Coturnix japonica: one gene and its partners. The protein of the gene in region 2 purifies or fractionates together with the protein of the main gene of each other region. This does not show direct contact. Links are inferred from orthologs where the notes say so. Each region holds a gene or a part of one and is shown on either strand. Other genes may lie near its edges.

Region 1 (4,587 bases), on a different chromosome or scaffold from region 2:
GGGGGAGAGGCAGCAGTCAGTGCCAGGAGTGTCAGCAGCACCAAGGGGGGGTCCCCATCACACCGTGCCCCCACCTTGCTGAGGTCCTTGGCGGTGACACCATCATCATCCCGGCACGGCAGCTTGTGCACGAAGGCCAACATCTGGTACTTGGCGCGGATGAACTCTGACTTGGTGGGGCTGGAGACACAGGGTGAGGGGGGGGGGACATCCACCACAGCTCCCCCCATCCCCACAGCCCCATCCCCACACACAGCCCTCACTTACTGCACTTTATCCTGGGGATTTGCCTTCCTGCGCCCGCTCTGCACCTGCGCCGGGTCCAGCAGCGAGTGCTCCCAGATGGAGTTGGCCCCATTGCTGGCCAAGGTGTGCACCATCTATGCATGGGGGGGGGCACAGTGAGCCGATGGGACACCCCCCTTGTAACCTCCCCCCCCGGGTGCACCCACCTGCAGCAGCGTGGCGGGCCAGGGGCTGTGCCGCAGGTGCTTGACGATGGAGATGTGGCGGCCCAGGCTGCGGTGCACGCTGCAGCACTCGTCGCAGATGAGCACACCGCGGTTGATGGAGGCCCAGCCCGGGTCTGCAGGGGGCGTGGGGTGTTATGTAGGGGGGGCTGTGTGTGGGGGGGGGCAGCGTCACCGTAGCAACATGGCGGTTTCCAGGGTGACGGAGAGGGGCTCAGCCCATCGCCAGGGGAAACCCAAAGGGTTCCCTTAGCAACCAAGGGGGGGGGGCAGGATTTGGCCCCCTCATCAGAAGGGCTGACAGCAGCGGGGGCGATGCCAGCACTGTGCAATACACCCTTACGTGCCGATGCTGTGTCCCCTGTGCTGCGGGTGTCCCCATACAGGTGGGTGCCCTCCCACCCACTCAGCCATCACGGACTCAGTGGCTGTGCCCCCCCCAGCAGCCCCACGCCCCCTGCCCGGCCCCGCTCGGCCGCACTGGAGCCCTTTGTGTCCCCAGGAGAACAAAGGGACGTTTGAGCACTGTGCTGGCACCGGCCCCGCTCCAGCCACGGGGGCCCCACCGTTCTTTGGGGGCAGCTCCCCACAGCCAGCACCCCAATGGGTCCAGATCCCCCGGCACCAACAGAAGGGATGGGGGACAGATGGGGTGCCACCCCCCCCTCCACAGGGGGCAGGGGCAGGGTGGGCCATACGGTCCCCAGCGTCCCTGTGCCATAGCAGAGGAGTGTTGTGCATCTATAGGGCCTACACAAACACCGCGCCGCCCCACGGGAGGAAGGGCTGCGGGTGGGAGGGGGCAGCAGCACCACCAGCGACCCACCCCCATCACCCAGTGCGGCGCTTCCTTCCCACCCCCTCCCCAAAACCCCACTGCTGCCCCACACCAGGCAGCCCCGACCCCTCTAATATGGGGGGCACAGCCGGCAGCGGCCACAAGGCAGTGTTGTCGTCGTCCCCCCCCCCAAATCCTGGCAGCACCGCCCGGGCAGATGGCAGCGCTTGGCAGCAGCACCGCCGCATCTGCGCCTCCGCACCGCGGCCCACGGGGCGCTGCCGGGAACAGGATGCTGCGTGCCGGGGGGGGGGCACCCCATATAGCACCCCATATAGCACCTCATATAGCACCCCATATAGGATCCCATATAGGACCCCATACAGCACCCCATACAGCACCTCGCAGTGCCACCCCTTCCTCCTTCATTGGGATCGGGGCGGCTGAGGGCACAGCAGAACGGTGCTACCCCATAACCCGGAGCAATGGGAAACTCCATCCCTGCGCCGCGGGGGCGATGCCGGAGCCGGGCACCCCGCACATCCCGACACCGGCTGCTCCCGGCCCCGCGATGTCGGAAGCGGCCTCTGGACTTTATAACTCATTTCCTCCCATGGCCGCCGGGCGATAAGGGATTGGGAGAAAAAGCTTTCCATTTCCCCCATAGGAACCTCGGCACCGCCGGGTACCTTATAACAGGGGCTGACCCACAGCAGTGGGTGACCCCGCAGCCCCCCATGCACGTGGCCGCCATCCTCAGGGCTCTGAGCCGCTTTCAACGTTCATTCATTGCCCCCAGCGCCGCAGGGATGGGTCTGGGGGTCACAATATGGGGGGGGAGCCATCTTTAGGGTATGTTATAGAGATAATGGGGTGCAGCGGGGATTCCCAGTGCGGGGTGTAAAAGGGGAACCCGGGGGTAAAGTAGGGGGTGAAGAGTGGGGGGTAATGGGGGGCAACAAGGGGCTGTAAGAGATAGAACAAGGGGTCTGGGGGGCACAGGGGGCATTTTAGGGCTCACTGTAGGGTTCCTGGGTGCAGAACAGGGGCACCGGGGGGCACAGTGCTGGGTGCCGAGAGGGAAAGTAGGGGTACAAAGGGATGGGGAATGGGGTGCACCGAGGGTTGCAGGGGGAACGGGGGGGGGGTTTATTTAGGGCACGTTGTGGGGTTGCTGTGGGCAAAGAGGGAGTCGGCAGGGTATGCAGGGGGAACCCTGGGCTCCTGGGGTCTCAGCACGGGGTGTGAAGGAAGGGTGGGGGTCACTGGGACCCCTGGGGTAAATAGGGGGTGCGGGGGGGGGAGGGAGGCACCGGGGTATCGCGGGTACAAAGCTGGGGGTTCAGAGCGGGGCAGCGGGGTCCAGAGCAAAGGGGGAGGGGGGCGTCATCCAGGTGCTGATGCTGGGGGGGAGGGGATGGAGGCACACGCACAACCGAACTGCGAACGGCCCCGCGTGGAGGAGGGTCGGGGGGGGATAACGCCGACGGGGCCGGGCGCGGCCCTTCCCTACCTGCGGCACTGCAGTCCGCGCACACCTCCGCCCGCTGCGCCTTCCGGGACATCCTCAGCGCCGAGCCGGGCCCGGGTCTCTGCGCCAGCGCGGAGCGGGGCCGGGGAAGGGGGGGATGGGGGGGTCGGGTTGGGGAGGGGTCGGGGGGGGGCGGCGGGGCTCGGGGCCGCCTCGCCCTCCTGCCGCCTGCCCTGCCGGCTGCTCGCAGCCCCGGCGGCTCCGCAGGAAGCGGCTCAGGCCCGGCCCCGGCGGAGGAGGAGCAGAACCGCCCCCGCCCCGCGCAGCGCAGCGCAGCGCAGCGCAGTCACGGCGCGCCCTGAGCAGCAGCGGGTGATGGAGCTGCGGCCCTTTGGGGCGGATCGGGGCCCGTCCTGGTGCTGGTTCTCGTCCTCATCCCGGCTCTGTCATCCTCTGGTTCTGGTCCCGGTTCTAGTCCTGATTCTGTGCGTCTCCTTGTTCTTGTCCCCATCCTGGTTCTGTTCCTGGGCATTCCCTGCCTCTGTTCTGGTCCTGCTTTTGGGTATTCCCTGCTCCTGGTCTTGGTCCTGGGTTAGTCTTGGACCTTGTCCTGGTCCCGGTTTTGTCCTGGACAACCCCTGGTTCTTGTCCTGATAGTGATCCGGATCCTGGGCATCCTCTGGACCCGGGCCTGGTTCTCATTTTGGTCCTGGTTCTGAGTTGGTCTCATTCTAGGCATCCATTGGTTCTGGTTTTAGCCTTGGTCCGTGTCCCGTTCCAGGTTCTGACCCAGCCCATGTCCCGGTTCTGATTCCATGCACTCCCCGGCCCTGCCCCCAGCCCCATTCCCAGCCCAGGGTCCCATCCTGCACCCGCACCCCCGAGGCCCCAAATCACCCCGACCCCCACCCCCACGATGGCTGAACCTGGCATAGTGTGTGTGGGGGGGTTTGATACTGGGGGTGCCCATCTCTGTGCCGTTGTCAGATGGGGTCGGGGGGCGCCACCCCCAGCCCGGGGGACCCCGATCAGCGCCCGGGGCTGGGGGCACAGCGCCGTGTCACGCTGCACCCGCCCGGCGCTGAGCTCACCGCTGCATGGCCGTGACGTCACGGGACAGCGGGACCTTTGGGGGGGGGTCGTCACGGCCACAGCCCACCATAGGGGCGGGGAAGGAGCGGGGTGACCCCGCGGGAACCCCATAGGGGCGTGGGGAGGGGTCGGAGGGTGGGGGGGGGGCAGCCGTGGGGCCCAACCTCGCATTGTTCTCTGGCGGCTGCCGGAAAACACGAGCGGAGGGACGGGGGCGGAAAGGGAAATGGGGCCGGGGGGGGGTCGGCACCCCACGGGCTCATCGCGGGGGTCGCGCTGCTGCGTGTTGAGCGCCCGTGGGTGGGGAGAGCGGGGGGGTGCGATAAGAATTCAGGTTGTGCCTTCGGGCGCTGCGGAGCCGTCCCCGAACAGCCCCATACAATGGGGGGGGGCATAGGGCCGGCGGGGGGTGCGGGGAGGAAAAGGAGGAGGAGGAGGAGGAGGAGGAGGAAGGGGCGACGCCGCGCTCAGTGACTACAAGTCCCATGAGGCCGGGCGGTGCGGGGGGAAGATGCGGGGGGGACCGTCCGGGCGGCTCCCACCCACCCCCCCCCCCCCACCGCCCCGCCCCGCTCCGCGCCCCGTTCCGCCCCGCCCCGCGCCCCGCTCCGCCCCGCGCCCCGCTCCGCCGCTCCAGCATGAACGGAGGATGCTCGCGTCTTGCTCGGGCAGGAAGGGGCCGGAGGGCAGATACCCGCTGCATTACCTCGTCTGGCACAACCGAGCCCGGGAGCTGGACCGGGAGCTCAGCGCCAAGCAGGTGGGGCGGCGGTGCG
Region 2 (4,715 bases):
AATTGGTTTTCTTGTGTTTTCTTTTAAACGAGCAGATAACAGATAGAAGACTTTCAGCTCAGTCCCTTCCAGCAAACCACTGCCTGGCCAACTTTGGTCTGACTTCAGCATAAGTGAGATCCAAACTCTCAGACGAGAGGATGGCATTTTGCAGGAGATGGGCTTAGAGGAAAGATACTCTCGTTCCCATTCATCCAGGCTCTTTCCCTATCCGAAACCTCTCCAGGAAGCAGGAGCTTCAACAGTAAAGTCACTTAGAAAGCATCTGCCAGAAACAGTCTTTTCTCTCTCTTGTTTGGAAGATAACCCTGTTGATAAAAGCACTTCTGCAAAGACTGTAAATGAACAGTGAGCATAAGTTAAGAGTAGAAAGCATCACATTTATTTCCAAAACAAAACTCACAGGACCGGGCAAAGCTTTGACTTTACTCATGAAAGAAGCTCTGGAAAGTCTTTGTATGCTGACAGTTGTAAACTCCTGGGAGCACACGATGAGTCAAACAAATACCTGGCACCAGCACCAAAACAAGCAGCAAGGAAAAAAGGTAGAAGCTGAATTGGAAAGACTTGCCAGTGTATCCCCAGCTCTTAATCCACCTGCCTGCTGTCCTGCTGCTGGTTCACACACGCTGCTTTGGACCAGCTTGCCATGAAGACAGGGCTACCAGTTCCCATACTGGCCAGCTACAGCAGATGAGCCCTAATGATTGTGGACTGAACAATAACTGGGCTTTCTGATATCTGAGCTTCCAGAAACCTGCCAAGGGAACACATCACCTTCACCCAATCCCACAGGTGCAGGAGACATGCCCTCCTTCAGAGCTTAACATCGACTGATGCTTGTGAATAAACTTAAACACAACTGCTCTATTTACCATCCTCAGTCACTACACCAACACTGATGCTGCCCTTACATCTTATAGGAAACAGTGACCTTATCTATTACATAAAGCTCTCCATGCTCACTAGGAGTAACACTACACACCCCTGGTAAGGTGTGTTCATCAAAAAACACGTTCTAAGCAGCAGTTGTCCACTAGTCAATCGGAATGCAAGAAATAAAGCACCTGATTTCCCATGAGACCACAGCATGAATTGACATGAAACCACGCTTCCTCGCAGGAAAAGCTGTTTCCCCCCAGGCTGACCTTGCTGGGATGCAGAATCAATCCAGCCCTGGGCCAGGAGCTGCATGAAGAGGACTTCATCCTTTCTGAGACCCAGCCTGGTGTGCAGGTGCTCAGCTGATCATATAAAACATCACCTGTAGAAGCTCTCCATCACTACCTTCTACCCCCAAAACCTCGCTAAGTCAACTCACCTTTAGAGCTTCCCTCCTATATCCCACATGCCGGCCCCCAGAGCCTTAATGCTGCTCACGTTTACCACCAGGCCCAGCCAGTTCAAGCAGCATCTCCCCGAGTACCCTGTTTTCAAAGCAAAGTAACTTTTGCTCTGTTGTGGCTACACAGGCACGTCAGTAAGGGGAGCTGCTGCAGGAAACGCTGGCACAGAAGTCTCACGGAGCTCTTAGCGCCTCAGAAACCTCCTAATGCAGAAAACAGATTAAAGGTGAAACGTACAAGACTGATACAGGAACGCTAAAGCAGGAGGAGTCTTGGTAATAAAACACTTTGACCTTCTTCCCGATCCCTGCAGCTCTCCTATCAGCGCAAAGACAGAACAGAAGCATGGATACCCTTACCACTTCTCCTAGGATCAGTCAGAAACCAAACGGGCTTGAAGATTTTTCTCTTTTAAACCTAACTGAAAGGCTCCAATGAAATAAGCACAATGGTGGTTTTAAAGGGCCACATTTTAAAAGATGCCCAAGATGAGACCCGCCATACATGGTCAAAGCATTCCCCCACACACTGCAGCACCAGCCCAGAGGACACAGCAGCAGGTGTCAGTGCAGCAAACCCCCCATGGGCTGAGCACTGGGTCAGCACTGAGCCCAACCCGGAGCAGCATGAGCCTCCTGCCCCCACCTCACTGTGCTACCAACAGTTCAAAGCCCTCAGCCTGAAGCTGACGGACGTTTCTTTCCTTGTCCATTTCGTAGCCCAACGTTTTTAATCGCCACACTTCCACACACACAGAGGATGTTAACCCAGCACTTCTTAGGTCCGGGCTTCACGCACAGCAGCACCGAGCTCCACATCAAAGCTCTTTCTTCCTCTAAAACGTTTCTCGCTGAGTTTTTTCCTCAGGTGTGTCGATGTGAGCGCTTGAAAGCTCACAAAGGCTTCACGTTTTTAGCTCCTGTGTTCTCTTTCAGTTTCCCAGCCCGTCACAGCAGCCCACACGCGGAGCCCTCACCCCGCAGCGCTGGGCCACCTCCATCCGCAGCAGAAAGGAAGCGCACATCGGATCGCTTCCCGTTTTCGATGGCCGCCCGGGCTAAGGGCTCACGGCACGATCTCACGGCACGATCTCATCGCATCCCGCCGCCTTCCCGCACCACCCCGGGCCGACTCTCGGTGTCTCGGCCGCCCGCCGTTCCCCCTCACGGCCCCGAGGCTGCTCGGCCCGTCCCGCCCGTCCCCGTTCCCCCCGTCCCTCCCCACAGCTCCGTACCCTCGGGGCCGCCCCGCCAGGCGCCGCCCGGCCGCCGCCCCGCCGCAGGCCCGGCCGGGAGGGCCCACAAAGGGCGGCAGGTGGGAGCGGGCCGCGACCGCGCACTCACCGGGGCTGGGGCGGCGCCGGCCGCCTCCGGGACGGGCCGAACGGGGCAGCTGGGGCGCGGCCGCCACACGGCGCCTCTGCAATGGCGGCGGCGGCACCCACCGAGACGGCGGCGGCAGGAGCCGGAGGGGGAAGCGGAACCGCCGCGCGTGGCCACAGCCCGGGAGGGCGGGGCGCCGCCACCGGGACTACGGGTCCCGGCAGCACCCGGCAGAGCGGGGAACCACGGGAAGCGCTGCCACGGGCGGGAAAGAGGCCTCGGAACGGCGGACACAGTGGGAGCAACGCCGTCACACCATGGGGTTAAAGAGCCCCCTTCCACCACACAGATGGCGCCGCTGAGGTAGTGGATGAAGCAGCCAGCAGCATTCAGCACAGCCGGGGGAAAACAAGAGCCCTCTGTCAGAGCAGTTGCCAACCTGTGGTGGGCACAGTCACAAGACGAGCTCTATTGAATGCCAGAAGCAAAGGATGCCCAGGGGATCATGAAGCTACAGCTGGACAGCCATGAAAGGCTCATTCTGCTGGGGAACAGTCCTGGCTGCGTAGGAAGGAAGATGGACTTTGAAAACCAGCCGCTTTTAACTAACTGAGCTTATAAGGAAGGGCATTTTGTCCATCAGCAGCCCCTGAGCTGCTGTAAGGTCACAGTGCCACCTACTGACGACTGGAAACAGCGACTGTTCATCTCGAGCAACTCAGTTTTTCCATTAAGTAATTTCCTCTCCATATTTCCTTGTATTTATCAACCGCTCTGAGGGCTGAATTCGAGCCTTATAAATATTTGCTTCTAGTTTGTATCTTTTCACCAGCTTTCATCTTCCAAGGGTTATTTGAGCTTCAGATATAGGGTGAAATTCCCTTCAGATTTTCTAAGCTCTCAAATCCTTCGGTTCAAAGCAAGAGAAACTAATCCCCCCCCCCACTTACTACAGGGCTGTACCCATTGGTTTTTAAGCCTTCTACTGTGACAAGTAAGCAAAGAATGTCTCTTCCCAAATCCACACATAACCCATCTGGGCAGCATAAACGAGATTGAAGGATGTTTTTCATACCATTAACACCCACTTGTCAAGTCTGTTCATTTAAATTCAAGAAATACAAACACCTCTGTGAGGAAAAGCACCAGCCAAAGCCCAAAGCTAGACCAGGCTGAGGTTTAGGGTAAGGAATAGGAGTCACATTCTGCTCCTGACTGCTGCTGCCTTTGTACTACAGTCCATGAGGGCACCCTCATGCATTGCCAAGATGTGAATAACAGTAACATCTGGAGCTCAGTCATTTTGCACGTCTTTATTCCAAGCAGGTCACCAGAGAGAAGTCTCCATATCTGCAAACAGCAGTGAGAATCAAGCTGGAACAGAGCACGGTGGCAAGAAGAGTCACGACACACACTAAGACACTGTGTTGTGTGAGCCCCACCGGGACACGCAGAATCAGTTCTTCACTCTCCTACAAGGAAAAGTAAATTGGTTATACACACTTAACCAGCTTTTGTTGGTTTTTTAGCTGCAATTCAGGGGATGGGTAACTAGGCTGCTATTTAACTTGCCCTTTGCTAAGGCTTGATCTTGAATCCCAAAAGAAAGCTGAGATGGGACACAGCCTTTCAATTTACTGCCCTTGCAGAGAGCCAGCTACACTGCAGAGGCCTTTCTTTATTCAAGTCGTGCCAATTACAGCACTGTCGATTCTAGGATTCCAACTCAACTGCCTCTATAAGAAGTCACACAATGAGGCTTTTATCAGGTAGGTCTGTGATCTGGAAGCTGCTTATCTCAGAAAAAGGCAATGTTTGTTAAGCAAGAAGCCAGAACTTCCTTCTGAAATAGGAACTCACGGGTTGGTGTGTTGCTCCGTACCACTGACAGAGTCGGTCCTTATTCCCTGGACAGGGAGCTTCCACGTCAGCAGGCTGCCAGCAATCTGGAGACAGATGCTCTATGGAAGACAGGTACAGTAGATAACTAAGGATGAATCTCACCCATGGGCTGTCTTCAATGGGACAAAGAATCCATGGTTGACCT
Region 3 (4,364 bases), on a different chromosome or scaffold from region 2:
ACTTACTGCACTTTATCCTGAGGGTTAGCTTTGCGCCTTCCACTCATAACAGAAGCGGGGTCCAGCAACGAATGTTCCCAAATGGAGTTAGCACCATTATTATACAGTGTTTCAACCATCTGAAATACAAAATATATACAGGCAGGAGTGAAGAACTTAGCTGCTAGCTGCACAGATTGACTCATCAGAGAGCTGTGAGTATTGTGAACCCAGCAGCAGGATGGCACTGACTCATATTCTGTATAGCAGTGCCTAAAACCCACTGGGGTGTCAAAGCCCAGCTGATGTTTAGGAGACTGTTGTGTGGAATGTAATATGAACCCCCTTAAAATTCTCTCTCCTTCCACATGAACATCTCTACCAAAACCAATGCTGAATATTTAGGTTGAAGCAGATATATATATACATATATAGAAACACCACAAAGAAATTCTAGCTTTAGTAAAGGAGGAGATGTCATTGGTCTTTACCTGCAGCAGTGTTGGAGGCCATGGTGTGTGCTTGAGATGTCTCACTTGAGAGATATGACGCCCCAAACTCCGGTGAACGCTACAGCACTCATCGCAAATCAGAATTCCCCTGTTTATGGATGCCCAACAAGGATCTGAAAAAAGAAGACATTTATTACAACCACAGAAGGCAAGGCAGCTTCTTATTTCAGAGCGGAAAATGACTTTGTGTTTTAGAACTCAGTGTTTTAACTTGAGATTTACTGCTCTCAGAAGCAAATCCAGTTTCTGTCAGTGACAGAAGAGGCTCCGTGGGCCAAGAACCCTGCAGGAAGGAAAGTGAGCAGCAAGACATTGTCAGAGCTGGCACAGTGCAGGAGGAAAAAGGAGTTCAAAATCTCTTCTGTTTTGGAAAACCTACTTAATTCCAAATCCAGAGCTGGGTTTAAGGCTGAATGAATACAACACAAGCCTGTATCTGATGAGAGATCTTCTGCATCGTGTCAGAATACATCTAAGCAATTGTGCATCACACAAATATCCTGCTGTGACCCGTGCAATAAATATAGTGAATCCATGAAACGTGAGATCTGATCACTGATGTGGTTTCTGAGCAGAGCTGATGCTGTGTGTGCTGAAGGCAACGCAGGCAAACCCACGGCTCACAAGGGAAGGCAGCATCTACTCGTAGATGATAACTATCACATAGCCCAGAGCCAAACTGAAGTGCATGGTGTAGGAAAAAAAAAACCTAATCTAATTTAAGAAACAAAGTAATGAGGAGTTTGAGTGCTTGTTATTAAACCATTCCACTATTTTTACAACTTTCACTTCTAAGAGAGAAAAACAGAACAACAAAACAAGCTTTGTTAACCCCAACCCAACGAGCCAAGGCTGGAGGCATCCTTCAAGACTAACGAGCCTCATCCCTTTTTATTACAGACATCATCATACACTCATTCATACATCGTGATCTTCTGAAAGCCACTGTGTTCCTGGTTTCAGTCACGAGCTGCTCGTTCAATATGCACCGTAACCAACCCCGTTCAGCTACAGCAAAGCAAGCTCCTGTTTATCTGATCATTCCACAGCAGAATGGAAGCTTCAGCATCCCTCTGAAGAGCAAAGCAGAAGCCTGGCTGGTAATCTGAGCTCCCACACAAGGCTGGTCAAACAGCAGCAGGAGCTCAGCGCTGCAACCTGCTTTCAAAGTCACGGTGGTTTAATCAGAAGTGGAGTTTTAATTGAGGTACATGAAGATTTGTGGGCTCCCATTCAGTTCAGACGTGGCTCACTGCCAGTTACTTGCTCTCAAGTAACGGATGGGGACCGGAAAGGGAACAATATTGGTTATGACAGAGGGCTGTCAGGTTATAGGAAGACTTATTTCAGGTTTAAGTTAAATGTCTGCGTTGGAGTTTAGTCTGTTTCTAAAGGCAATACAGGTACAAACGCAACGCAAATACACTTACACTGATGGCGGAACACAAGAAATACTCAAAAGATCTCTCAAGTTTGCTTTCAGGAACATGGCAGAGCGCTTCAAAACAGGAAGCGTGCAAGGACAGGCGTGCTCTGCGGGTACGAGAAGTGAGCTCCTGCCCCAGCAGCATAGGAAGTGTAACAGAAAAGAGCATGTCAAACTCTCCTTGAGCACAGCACGACCACTTGTGGTCCTAAAGAAGCAAAGAGAAGTTGGGGGAAACCCCAGAAGACAACCTGGCTCAAATGAAGAAGATCCTACCAGCCCTACAAACTCTGCTTTCAATCAAAGAAGGGGTTTGTTCAGGTTTTTGGGTTGTTTTGTGAAGAAAGGACTAAGCTTTTGTTACACACATGGCTAAACCAGCAGGCTTCTCTATGAGCATCAGATCTGACGCTGTCATGCAGCACCCAACAACACACAGAGCTGTGACCCTGCTGTGTGCTGGCTGCCCTGTTGTACTGTGTCCAGGTGTAGAGCCCTCAGTACAAAAATGACATGGAGATTTTGTTAAGGGTCCAGAGGAGGGTCAGGAAGATGATCAGGGGGCTGGAGCACCTCCCCTATGAGGACAGGCTGAGGGAGTTGGGTTTGTTCACCCAAAACAAAAACCAGTCTCTAACACAGGAACACCAGCACTATAAATAAGCAGAAATAGGGACTTTAGACCCTCATTTTATACCTTTATTCCCCACACCCCCTGTCAGCACAGCGCCCATCCACACAGCGGCACCTGCCCTCCTCTCCTCAGTGCAGGGGGGTGGGGATGCGGACGGGCCCTGCCGCCCCCTCCTCTCGTCTTTCCCCTTTATCCCCCTTCTCCCCTCGGTTCCTCCGGCCTTACCCTGCGCACTGCAGTCCGCACACACCTCGCTGCTCCTCAGCCGCTTCGACATCGCTGTTCGGATCGGGACCGGCCGCTTCCTGCCGCGCTCAAGGGGCCGCCTCAGCCCCCGCCGGGCGGCCGAGCCGAGCGCGTAGTGCGCATGCGTACGTCAGCACCGCACGCTACGCCGCCGCTCGCTATTCACGAAGCATTTTACGCTAACGTGAGAAGCCAGGCGGAGCTGCGCTGCCGTAGCCGTCGTATCGCCCTAACTTAAAATGGCGAATAGAGACACTGCCCTCACTCGCAATGGCTGCGTGTCTTCCGTATTTCCGCGGTAGAGCATGCGGGCGAAACCAACGCTGCCCAGAGGCGGGGGGGGATGGTGAGAACAGGGCGGCTCGTCAGTGTTACGGCTCAGAGGTTCCCCCCCTTGAGAGGTAAAGCGATGGAGGAGCCGGCGGGCAGGACGCCCTGTATATAAATGGGGGGAGAGCGGGGAATTGAGACTTCCGCTTGTGTGAGGGTCTGTGGGCTGCAGCGGGGAGAGAACGGGGCCCTATTGAACGCAGCTGCCGTGCTGTGGGACGGCCCTACCGCTGCCCTGGAGGGAAAGGAAGGGGCCAAGGGACGGGGGTGAGGAGACGGCTTGGGTGGGAAAGGGGCTGGGGTGTGAGGTGGGGCCTAAGGATGGGGGGAGCAGGGCACTGGGAGCTGGAGACTGAGGGATAAGGGTGGGGAATAGGAGTGAGGGTCTTAGGGAGGGCACCAGGAATGGGGACAGAGGGGGGTGGGAGCAGAGCCCTAAGGCTGAGGGACCTGGGGGGGAAGGGGGAAGAAAGAGGGGGGGGAAGGCAGAAGCTGAGGTGTAAAAGGGACCCCAGATATAGGAGAATAAAGGGGACTCCAAAAACAAGGGCCTGAGGAAACGGGGGGGGGCAGGAGTGGGGGATTCAAGGAGAGCTATAGGTATGTGGGTCTGAGAGAGGGGATGGCCATAGGGATGAGGGGTGGGGGGCAGAAGCTGAAGCCTAAAGGGGATTAAAGGGGAGCAGAGACTTGAGGGAGGCCATAGGGATGGTGGTTTGGGGGGGGGGGGGGGGGGGGGGGGGGGGGGGGGGGGGGGGGGGGGGGGGGGGGGATAGAGGTCTGAGGGGGTCAGTAGGAGCAGCCCCCCCCCCCAGGGTGTGGGATTTTGCATGGGGTGCCCCTAAACAAAGCAGGGGGTGGTGAGGGCAGGCTGCCTGCTTCCCCTGCTCCTGCAGGTGCGTGGCATGATGAGTTCCCCCGGCAGGGCCAGCGCTGCGTACCCCCTGCATGTCCTGGTTTGGAATAATGATTACCAGCGGTTGGATGAAGAGCTGCAAGAACAGGTAACTGCTGCCTTCCTGGGCAGAGAGAGCCTTGGCTGTGCCCCGGGTCTGTGCCAGGCTGGTGGGACTGTTTTCCTTCTGCACCTGTCTGTTTGTGGGTTTGAGAGTGAGGTAAGAAGGTATAGGGATGTGATGGACTTTCACTGTTTATCTGAGCAAAAAGAAGCAGCAAACAGAGCTTGCTTTAATGGAAAATCAGAGTGCAGCGCTGCTGCTGCTAGAGATGAGGGCAG

What was found. The genes of interacting proteins can lie anywhere in the genome.
Region 1: the proteins of PAK2 (region 2) and GIT1 purify together in Homo sapiens (affinity purification with mass spectrometry; 5 studies listed by BioGRID and IntAct, with this or other methods). This does not show direct contact. The link is inferred for Coturnix japonica from reciprocal best matches to the Homo sapiens genes PAK2 and GIT1.
Region 3: the proteins of PAK2 (region 2) and GIT2 purify together in Homo sapiens (affinity purification with mass spectrometry; 3 studies listed by BioGRID and IntAct, with this or other methods). This does not show direct contact. The link is inferred for Coturnix japonica from reciprocal best matches to the Homo sapiens genes PAK2 and GIT2.

The regions. Positions count from the first base shown.
Region 1 is NC_029534.1:4,843,342-4,847,928, forward strand, and holds the start of GIT1 (ARF GTPase-activating protein GIT1), read right to left. Parts: upstream 2,926-4,587; 5' UTR 2,814-2,925; coding exon 2,762-2,813; intron 587-2,761; coding exon 453-586; intron 381-452; coding exon 268-380; intron 181-267; coding exon 75-180; intron 1-74. Other genes in the region: ANKRD13B (ankyrin repeat domain-containing protein 13B), read left to right, coding at 4,461-4,571. UniProt on the Homo sapiens protein: GTPase-activating protein for ADP ribosylation factor family members, including ARF1.
Region 2 is NC_029524.1:3,560,520-3,565,234, forward strand, and holds the start of PAK2 (serine/threonine-protein kinase PAK 2), read right to left. Parts: upstream 2,855-4,715; 5' UTR 2,690-2,854; intron 2,455-2,689; exon of another isoform or gene 2,323-2,454; intron 1-2,322. Other genes in the region: PIGX (phosphatidylinositol-glycan biosynthesis class X protein), read right to left, coding at 3,982-4,140, 4,529-4,629. UniProt on the Homo sapiens protein: Serine/threonine protein kinase that plays a role in a variety of different signaling pathways including cytoskeleton regulation, cell motility, cell cycle progression, apoptosis or proliferation.
Region 3 is NC_029530.1:6,002,572-6,006,935, forward strand, and holds the start of GIT2 (ARF GTPase-activating protein GIT2), read right to left. Parts: upstream 2,926-4,364; 5' UTR 2,829-2,925; coding exon 2,777-2,828; intron 605-2,776; coding exon 471-604; intron 120-470; coding exon 7-119; intron 1-6. Other genes in the region: ANKRD13A (ankyrin repeat domain-containing protein 13A), read left to right, coding at 3,243-3,394, 4,053-4,131. UniProt on the Homo sapiens protein: GTPase-activating protein for ADP ribosylation factor family members, including ARF1.